Daphnia pulex: one gene and its partner. The protein of the gene in region 2 purifies or fractionates together with the protein of the main gene of each other region. This does not show direct contact. Links are inferred from orthologs where the notes say so. Each region holds a gene or a part of one and is shown on either strand. Other genes may lie near its edges.

What was found.
Region 1: the proteins of uncharacterized protein KIAA0930-like (region 2) and 14-3-3 protein epsilon purify together in Homo sapiens (affinity purification with mass spectrometry; 4 studies listed by BioGRID and IntAct, counting the BioPlex papers as one, with this or other methods). This does not show direct contact. The link is inferred for Daphnia pulex from reciprocal best matches to the Homo sapiens genes KIAA0930 and YWHAE.

Annotation. Positions count from the first base shown.
Region 1 is NC_060024.1:10,588,628-10,592,988, forward strand, and holds the start of 14-3-3 protein epsilon, read left to right. Parts: upstream 1-1,385; 5' UTR 1,386-1,552; coding exon 1,553-1,616; intron 1,617-3,276; coding exon 3,277-3,476; intron 3,477-3,537; coding exon 3,538-3,644; intron 3,645-3,970; coding exon 3,971-4,108; intron 4,109-4,162; coding exon 4,163-4,361. Other genes in the region: piwi-like protein Siwi, read left to right, coding at 1-131, 198-314. UniProt on the Homo sapiens protein: Adapter protein implicated in the regulation of a large spectrum of both general and specialized signaling pathways. Binds to a large number of partners, usually by recognition of a phosphoserine or phosphothreonine motif.
Region 2 is NC_060026.1:1,163,579-1,167,908, reverse strand, and holds the start of uncharacterized protein KIAA0930-like, read left to right. Parts: upstream 1-1,507; 5' UTR 1,508-1,912; coding exon 1,913-2,045; intron 2,046-2,110; coding exon 2,111-2,271; intron 2,272-2,338; coding exon 2,339-2,518; intron 2,519-2,582; coding exon 2,583-2,684; intron 2,685-2,740; coding exon 2,741-2,881; intron 2,882-2,953; coding exon 2,954-3,092; intron 3,093-3,157; coding exon 3,158-3,264; intron 3,265-3,325; coding exon 3,326-3,494; intron 3,495-3,734; coding exon 3,735-3,878; intron 3,879-4,017; coding exon 4,018-4,167; intron 4,168-4,243; coding exon 4,244-4,284; 3' UTR 4,285-4,330. Other genes in the region: tRNA (adenine(58)-N(1))-methyltransferase non-catalytic subunit TRM6-like, read right to left, coding at 1-23, 88-370, 437-610, 668-1,105, 1,172-1,263.

The DNA of each region.
Region 1 (4,361 bases), on a different chromosome or scaffold from region 2:
TGTCTCAAAAAGTTACGCAAGGTACCGTTTCTCCCACCAGCTACAATGTTATTGAAGATGACACTGGAATCGCCCCTGATATTCACCAGCGACTGGCTTATGCTCTTACCCATCTTTACTACAATTGGCCTGTAAGTTTTTTTATTTTTATTGTCTATTTTATTCAGAATTGAATTTAACCAATTTGTTCATTTAAGGGTACCCTGCGTATTCCAGCGCCCATCCAGTATGCGCACAAGTTGGCGTACCTTGTTGGTGAATCAATGATGACGCAACCGCATGAAGGACTGAATCGACTTCCTTATTACCTTTGAATTACCTTTCATTTATTTTCTCCCTAAGTTTTGTCATTTTTAACGTATTAATTTGTTCACTCATAAGAAAAAAACTAAAAGACGACGAGACATGCCTCACTCGCACGATTTTCGAATGACGCCAAAAATATTTTTCTTGAGTTTGTTTGCAATGGCGGATATCGACAATGGAAGTGTTTTTCATGCAATTTTTTTTTCTGTTTCACCTTCATGGGCCATGTCAGAAGTGTGATAATGAACGCCCCTTTGTGCCATGTTGTATGTAATCAAGGAATGAGTAATAAACCTTTGTTTTTAAATGAAGTAGATTTATTGACTTTCGTGTGGTGAGTTTTTATATGATGAAATAAACATGAGTTGCAATGGAATTCGCGTTGAGATGGCATTGACGGAAAAGCTCTACGTGTGCAATGCACATAGCACATTAGGTGTTTCGAAAGCACTGAGGAAAACAAAAGAATGTGGCATCGCTGCTTGGCAGGCGTGGTCAAGCTGACAGCTGTATCGAGAAGAATGCAGGCCTGCAAGGCCAACAAGGGTACGTCTGGGCAGGATCGTCTGGGCTTCCTCGATAGTCAACTTTCAGGTCCGCAAAAGCCAAAAGAACTCGCAAGTCATTGAATTGCTAATTGTCCACTAGAGACACCATGCGGCTGTCTCTTTTGTAACCAAGGGATCTCAATCGTCCCACAGCGAACTAAATCGTTTATAAAAATTATTTCAATACTATAAAATGACTTGATTTCATAACTTGAAGCTTTTTAAAAACACGATAAAATAATATTTACGTAACAAAATAGATGGTTGCTAGACATCCAATAATGAATTCACAAAAAGTATGCATAGAATCAAATGATTAGAATGAACATGTCATTACTCGGATAATAGAAAATTTGAATAAAAGTTTTATTTCATAAGAATTAATTAAATACCTAAAAGATTAGACAGCCCCCAAAGGTGTTTGGCCTTGTATAGATGTCAGCACTGTACGCTGCTAGATGCATAGGTAATAAGAAACGAGATCTGGCAATCTGGCCTCTTCCCATCCCATCGACTCTCGCTGGCATTTTCCGCTTTAGCTACAGGGCAAAGCATTCTAGCAAGCGTACGGTGGAGTCTCAGTTGCTAGCTACACTCTTTGGTCTTAGTCGAGACAATTCGAGGCAGGTTCCGATTCCAACGGTCTCGCTTTTGTTTCTTTATCCAGTGACATCTGCTTATAGTTTATTCCAGCAGCCATGGCAGACAGAGAGGATAACGTTTACAAGGCAAAACTCGCCGAACAAGCCGAAAGATACGATGGTACGTAAATGTCATTTAAATGTAAAATCGAAAAAAAGAATGAAGTTTCATTTCCTCTGTGTCTCTATGACTGTGCATCTCTGTGGGTAAAACCGAACGAGACGGTAGGCGGCTTTGAAAAAAGGCTTGGGCGTTTGACAGACTTATGACGTTTTGACTTTTTGTCTTTTTTCTTGTACATTCGGTTGTGTAATGGGGAAATTCAGCGGCGTCCCCCCTCTTAGTGTTGGCTTGAATACTTTCGATCAATATGACACTCGTACTTGAGGTTCATTTTTCCTGACAATTCCATTTTATCAAGTATAGTATAATCTCAGCCATGTTTTCTAGAATCTCTTTTGAGGGTTTTTGTCGCAGTACGAAATAAAAAAAAAGTAATTCTGGGTGTGTGTCCGGTGTGTGTGTGTATCTCTGGGTGGTTTTCCTCGAAACCTACCGCTACGTAACGAGATGACTTGGATCAATGAGTCATGAGAGAGAGAGAGAGAGAGCAGAGACTTTGGACTGTCTCTTTGTATACTTGCTTTCCAATAACTTTTTTATTCTCTTTTTCGTGAAAAATACGTAGTCGTTTCTATTCAACTTGGGCCTCTCACCATTGCGCATCACCAAGGCGACGGATCTCTTCAAAACGACGCTCGGTAGAGTACCCCACCCTTATGTGCGTGATGCGTTGGGGGTCCTGGCTACGTTGATGAAAACGTGCCGTCTAAAAAAGCTTCTCTCTCTCTCTCTCTCTCGAGGACATCAAAAAGGAAACCGTTCACACAACAATGGCCGCCTGTGATGGTTAATTTTCTCTTCTATATTTTTCTCTCGACTCTTCTGTCTGCGGCTTACAAAAACCAAGAATCGGTCAAGCTCTGACAGTGGGCGGAGAAACCCGATGGAAAATTAGCCACCATTTTTATTTTTCGTCTTTTTCCTTTAGGAAAATATTCCAACTGGTATGAATGGGGCGTTTTTCTATTTCCACATATTTTCGAAAAAATAGTTGTCGCACGTGACGCGTCTCGTGCCTTTTGTCGTTGTAGAAAAAAAAAATTAGTTTTTATATTTTTAACTTTATTCCCCCCCCCCCCCTTCACGTTTCAATGATGGAGGGAAGTTGGAAAGAAGAGAAAATGCGGTGTGGGTGTGTCGCCCTAGAACCTGTCATTACGCCACTGCGATGTGAATCCAAGTGGAGAGCCTGTCCGTGCATACAACTCGATCGTCTGGTTATTATTATTTCCCTGAATTCAAACATGTACGCCCAGCTGGAGAAACTTTTATTTTTCAATTCCTCCCTTAGAAAAAAAGAGGACACACATAGTTTTGTGTGTGTGTGCGTAACGTCAACTCGGTTTGCCCCTGTACTTTTCCTTCCTTCCGCCGTGGGGATGCTGATGTTGGGGGTTATATGACGACTGCGACGTGCTGGATGTGTGGAGAGCGGGCGGAACTAGGCGGTAGCGTGTTTCCTCCCGTGGCCGTTATTGATCCGCTACTTGAAAAGTCGCTCGAGTGTGGGGGGTGGGGTAGACAGGGAGATGGGGGGGAAAGAAGGCAAAGCCTTTATGTCTGAAAGTGTATCTATCTTTTTCTGTCCAAAAGAGAAAGGGATCCTCTGACAAGTTTCTTTGGCTAAGACTATATGATAATCTGTTTGTTGATGCAGAAATGGTCGAGTCCATGAAAAAGGTGGCGTCGATGGACGTCGAGTTGACTGTCGAGGAGCGGAATCTGCTGAGCGTGGCTTACAAAAATGTGATCGGCGCTCGTCGTGCATCTTGGCGCATCATCTCGTCCATTGAACAGAAAGAGGAGAACAAGGGAGCCGAAGATAAACTTGAACTCATCCGCAATTACCGCAATCAGGTATGGATAATGTATTCAAATTTTATTCATTGATTTGTGCCTTTATCTGTTTTGTCTATAGGTCGAGAAAGAGCTGAAGGACATTTGCTCTGATATTTTGAGCGTCCTCGAGAAGCATCTCATCCCATCAGCCACCACTGGAGAATCTAAAGTCTTTTACTACAAAATGTAAATCGATTTTTGCTTGGCCTTTTTTTTTTCAATCTTGCGAGTAGTAGTTGGACATTCCTATTAAATGCACCGGTGGATTTCTCTCAAAGTCCTTGAGACTCGAGCGTCTGTGATTTCGAATTCTACTCGTGTTTCGCTTTGAGAGAAAAGAAAAAGTGTCGTTACTATCTCTACCAAACGTGTACACAATTTTATCGTACGTAAACGTTGCGCCAAGCGCAACTTTGTGTGCGCGCAGACATGTTGTGGATGGATGGCCTGGTATTGATTATTGACGATTTTACACAACTCCCTTCCTCTGCTTTTGTCGTTGTGTTATACAGGAAGGGTGATTACCATCGGTATTTGGCCGAATTTGCGACAGGAAATGACCGAAAGGAAGCTGCAGAGAACTCGTTGATGGCTTACAAAGCCGCCTCCGACATTGCCATGACGGAATTACCCCCCACCCATCCCATCAGGTAACTTAACTAACAATTTGTTGCCGATCCTCAACTTAACTTTATCATTTGTAGATTGGGATTGGCCTTGAACTTTTCCGTCTTTTATTACGAAATCCTCAACTCTCCGGACCGAGCGTGCCGGTTAGCCAAGGCAGCTTTCGATGACGCCATCGCTGAGCTCGACACCCTTTCGGAGGAGTCGTACAAGGACTCGACGCTCATCATGCAGCTCTTGAGGGACAACTTGACCCTCTGGACTTCCGACATGCAG
Region 2 (4,330 bases):
TGTATGTATGTTTCACTCAGTGGCTTAACGAATGAAATACAGTTTGTTAGTTCTTCATTATTTTAAATCTCAAAAGTTTTGTCTTACCTCGGAGTATGGACTGAAAATCACAAAATTGCCAGATGGGGCCAAAAGTTTCACCAGTTCCTTGGCGATGGTGGTCGGTCGACGACAGACAATTACCATCCCGTCGAGTGACCCGAATTCCAATGGTGGCGCAGCATCTTCGTCTAATTTTATCATTTTGGCCGGCACCTCGTCTCCATCCGCATTCTCTTCTTTCGCAAGCGTTTCTTTCAGTTTGTAGAGACTGCAGTTCTTCAGGGGCTTCAACTGCTCCGGAGTAAAGTTCATCGCTTGGATCACTCGCCTATTTACAACATAGTTGATTACTCGGCTGAAATATTTAGAAAATTCAAAAAGATTTGCAGTTTACTTTTGCGGTGTTCCTTTTAGGAACAGGTTCCAGACAGTGCCGTGCCCTTGAATTCTATCCAGAATAGCAGCTGTGACTAATCCTTGACACCCTCCATCAAAAACACCAAACTTGCCGTTGCTCTTGATGTTGGCTAAGGACATAATCATCGCAAGGGTGTCGGGACGTAAATTCCTAAAAATTATTAAATAAAATTATTATCCAATTCTTCACTGGAAAGGAAAGGCTTACAATATTTGCATGGGGTCTTGGGAATGGAAGTGTTTAGCCAAGTGTCTGATATTGGGTTTCAGAATGTCAACCCATTCAGAATATTTTTCCTCTTTTTTGTTTAGATACTTTTCCTGTGAGAATTCAGTCTTGATTTGGAAAGTTTTGCTGTTTTCAACTAGTTGTGTGACTATTTCACTTCCAGTCAACCCTTGACCTCTTAATTCTTCAATATCTTCTTTCTTCAGTTGTTGAGATGTGCCATCATCCCAAATTTCTTTATTGTTCTCTCCAGAGTTGAGGTCTTTCATTTTATCTTTCATCTCCACAACCTCATCTGATGGTTCAAGTGTAAACACACTGTTTTTGCCATCTTTTTCACGTACAAGCTTGAAAGTCCCATGAGGTTTTCCCACCACAGATGAGATATCGACTTTATCTCTCCCAATCTTAACAGTCCTTTATCGAGAAAAATATTGTTCATTAGGTTAAGCTTGTTACAAATGTAATTTAAAGGTGACGTACCATTTTTTGCCCTGTTTCTTTGGCAGCTGGTGTAGACTCACTTGGCTTTTTCTTTGAACTATAACAAATTCATCATTTTGGACTAATTCCATTATTCAAAAGTTCAGCAACGTTTTCAGATGTAAAGACAGTTGACAGTTTCGTCACAATACCACTCAATGAGAACAGAAGTCAACTATTGATTGAACAGAGATGTTGAGGTAGTGAACACGGTTTAGATGTAGCTTTTTATCAGATTTTAATCAAACTCGAAAGAAAACGACTAAATCAGTAGTTACAAAACGCATGTGCGATCGGCGCCATGTGATTTTTTTATTTTATTTGGAATGAGCAGACGACACATTTTTGACATCACAGCGGTGTCAATTGTATTTTTGAATCAAAAATACAATTTTTTAATTAAAAGTTTTCAAACATAATAAAGCGAAAATCAATTAAAAGTGAATAAAATATTCGTTTCATTTTCAGCTATGTATGTGTTATTAGAAACTTTCCTGAAAAATAAATAGTTCGACGTTGCCTTCAAATGTCAACTGTGTCAAAATAGACAGAAAATATTGAACCTGTTTGTTTTCTCAAATGTCACAATCTCATTTTGTCTCTTAGATTATTACTAAGCTCTTCAGTAATGCATGTTCTCTTTTGGGTGTCCATCAAATCAATTTGAAAGCATTTCAAACAATTATCAATGCTCCAATTATAGATCTTCAGTAAATCTGACATTCTTTGCAATCAGTCATTATGGCTGTTAGTTGGGATAAATTGAGTTCCATGGTAGACTCTGTTAATACTCGGTCTCCTAATGCTTTGGAGCAGCTATTGGAAGAAGTCAATTTTCAAAGGAGAAAGGAACGGAGAAAATATGTTAGAGAAGGTAAATGCATATATTTATTTTCCGTTGAAAAATTTAAAAGTTAAAACTAATTTTCTATTATTTAGACTCAGACTTTGTGCTCCTTCATGGAACACCATACTGGACTGATTTGTTTGTTCGGCACTTCCTGTTTGAATCAGATCAAAGTATTGATGCTGATGATCTCTTATTCTTTGTAAGAAAAAAGCTAATCAAAGGATCAACACGATTTCTAATGAAATTTGAGGTCAGATCACTTATTAATTCCACATTTAAAGTAATCATCTGTTTAATAAAGTGTTCATCAATTTTAGACTGAAGTTGAAGTTTTCCGTCGCGATAGTAAAAAGCTACCCATTGGAGATCCCGACGTGGCGTGGGAGGAGACTTTATATTTGAACTTGATCATTCATCAATTTGATTACATGTTAACCTTGGCAGTTTGCACAAGAACAAGCCCTAAAGATCTTCAGGTTTTGAAGCGTCATTGTCAAGTATGACCCAGATAATTTGCATTTAATAAAAATGTATGATAACACTATTGATTATTTTTCACAGAGGGTGTATGCCTCACCTAGTCGTAGAAGAATGGACGTTAAAGGTGATTTAGAAGAAATTACATATCCCAACATTTGTTTTATGGTGGACAATTTTGACGAGGTACTTTTTAAGGTGCAACAAAGTTCATTCAGTTTATTAATCCACTTTAAATTAAGGTTTATGAAGATATGCTCGTAAGAGATGGCGAGATGGTTTGCGTCGAACTTGTTGCCACCAACAGACGTGGAGTCCCTCAGGGAGTCCTTTTCTTGGGCTCTATTCGTTACGAAGCCTTAAAGAAAGTCTATGATTCTAGAGTGAGTAAAAATTTAGTTTTAATTTTGCGGTATACTATTTTATTTACAAAAATTTTTCTGTTGAAATTAAAGGCTAGTTTAGGTACAAGAGTCGCCCAAAAGTTTTCGATGGGTTTATGGAATGGAGCAAGTACACATCGCATGGAGTTTGTTCGCATGAAAGGTCCCCAAGGAAAAGGCCACTCAGAAATGGCCGTAACAAAGCCTAAAAGTTTGTTTCAGATGATCACACAGCATATTATTTTTATATCTTATTAATCTCTTGCTGGTTCGCAGGTTCTGGGTTAGACACCCCATGCTCAGAACCAGGCTTTAGCGCCACAGAGCTTTGGGACGCGGAGTGGGATTCTGAGCCGGAAGACTTGTGCTCCAACACCCGACAGGTTGATAGAAACCTTTTCTATAGCCATCGATCAAAATCTCAATAATTGCTTGTTTCTTTAGAGACGTTTGAGCGAGCCAAGTGGAGGTATGCCAATCAGCAACCGTTGTCAACGACCCAACACTAGTCATCAAATGAACGGGACTACTAACATGTCCCGCTCAGAGAATGAAGGTCTTGATAAGTGCAACAATACTTGGAATGAGATCGAGGCCGGTGATGTTCGAGACGGTAAGTGCATCTACACTTGAATCACGATTCTACACTTAAATCACTGTTCAGTTTTCTTTTTACTCGGTATACTTTGATGTTGTTTTTTTTTTTAACCCTGCGTATGTATTAACTAAATTTAACAAACATTTCTGTTAGGTTGTATTTTTGCTCGTTAAATATTTTATGTCGCATGCCAGTCGCTTTCTTTTTTGTGTTGATTGTTATTGGCATCGTTTTTGGCTGTATTATATCTACTAGGCATGCTGGCTGAGGAGCCGGAGTCAACGGACGTGCCCGGCCGCAAGACGGGTGCGACGTTCAAGCAGCTGGTGGACGGAAACCGAGTTCACTTTCGTGACGGTCAGTCGGCTCGGTCCAGTGAACCTGCTGGCCCTCGCACCGGTGTGCCATTATTATTTTTCATAAGCTTATTTTGTCTTGCTTTCCCTTTGATGGTTTCATATACTATTACTGTTTCAGCGTTTTTGTGAAGAGAGTTCTTGTGTTTAATTTTTCTTTTATTCCAATGATTTCTTTTTAGAATTGGACGATGGAGTGTGTAATCCACTTTGGACTATGAAAGGATTCACCCAAACCTTCCATTACTTGAAAGAGTCACGACGTGCTCAGTCGGTGCCTCTTAACGCGCTTCTTACTTACGTCACTGTCCCTTGGTATTCGATTATTGCCGGTAAGGGAGTAATTAATTAATAATGTCTTCAAATAGAATTATTTTTCTATCATTTATACTCATTTTGTTTCAATAGATATTTTGGACCATCACGACGCGCCTACCCTTACTTTCTAGCATACTCAACCACTTTCTTTCGGCATTTTTGCTATTGTCAAGGATC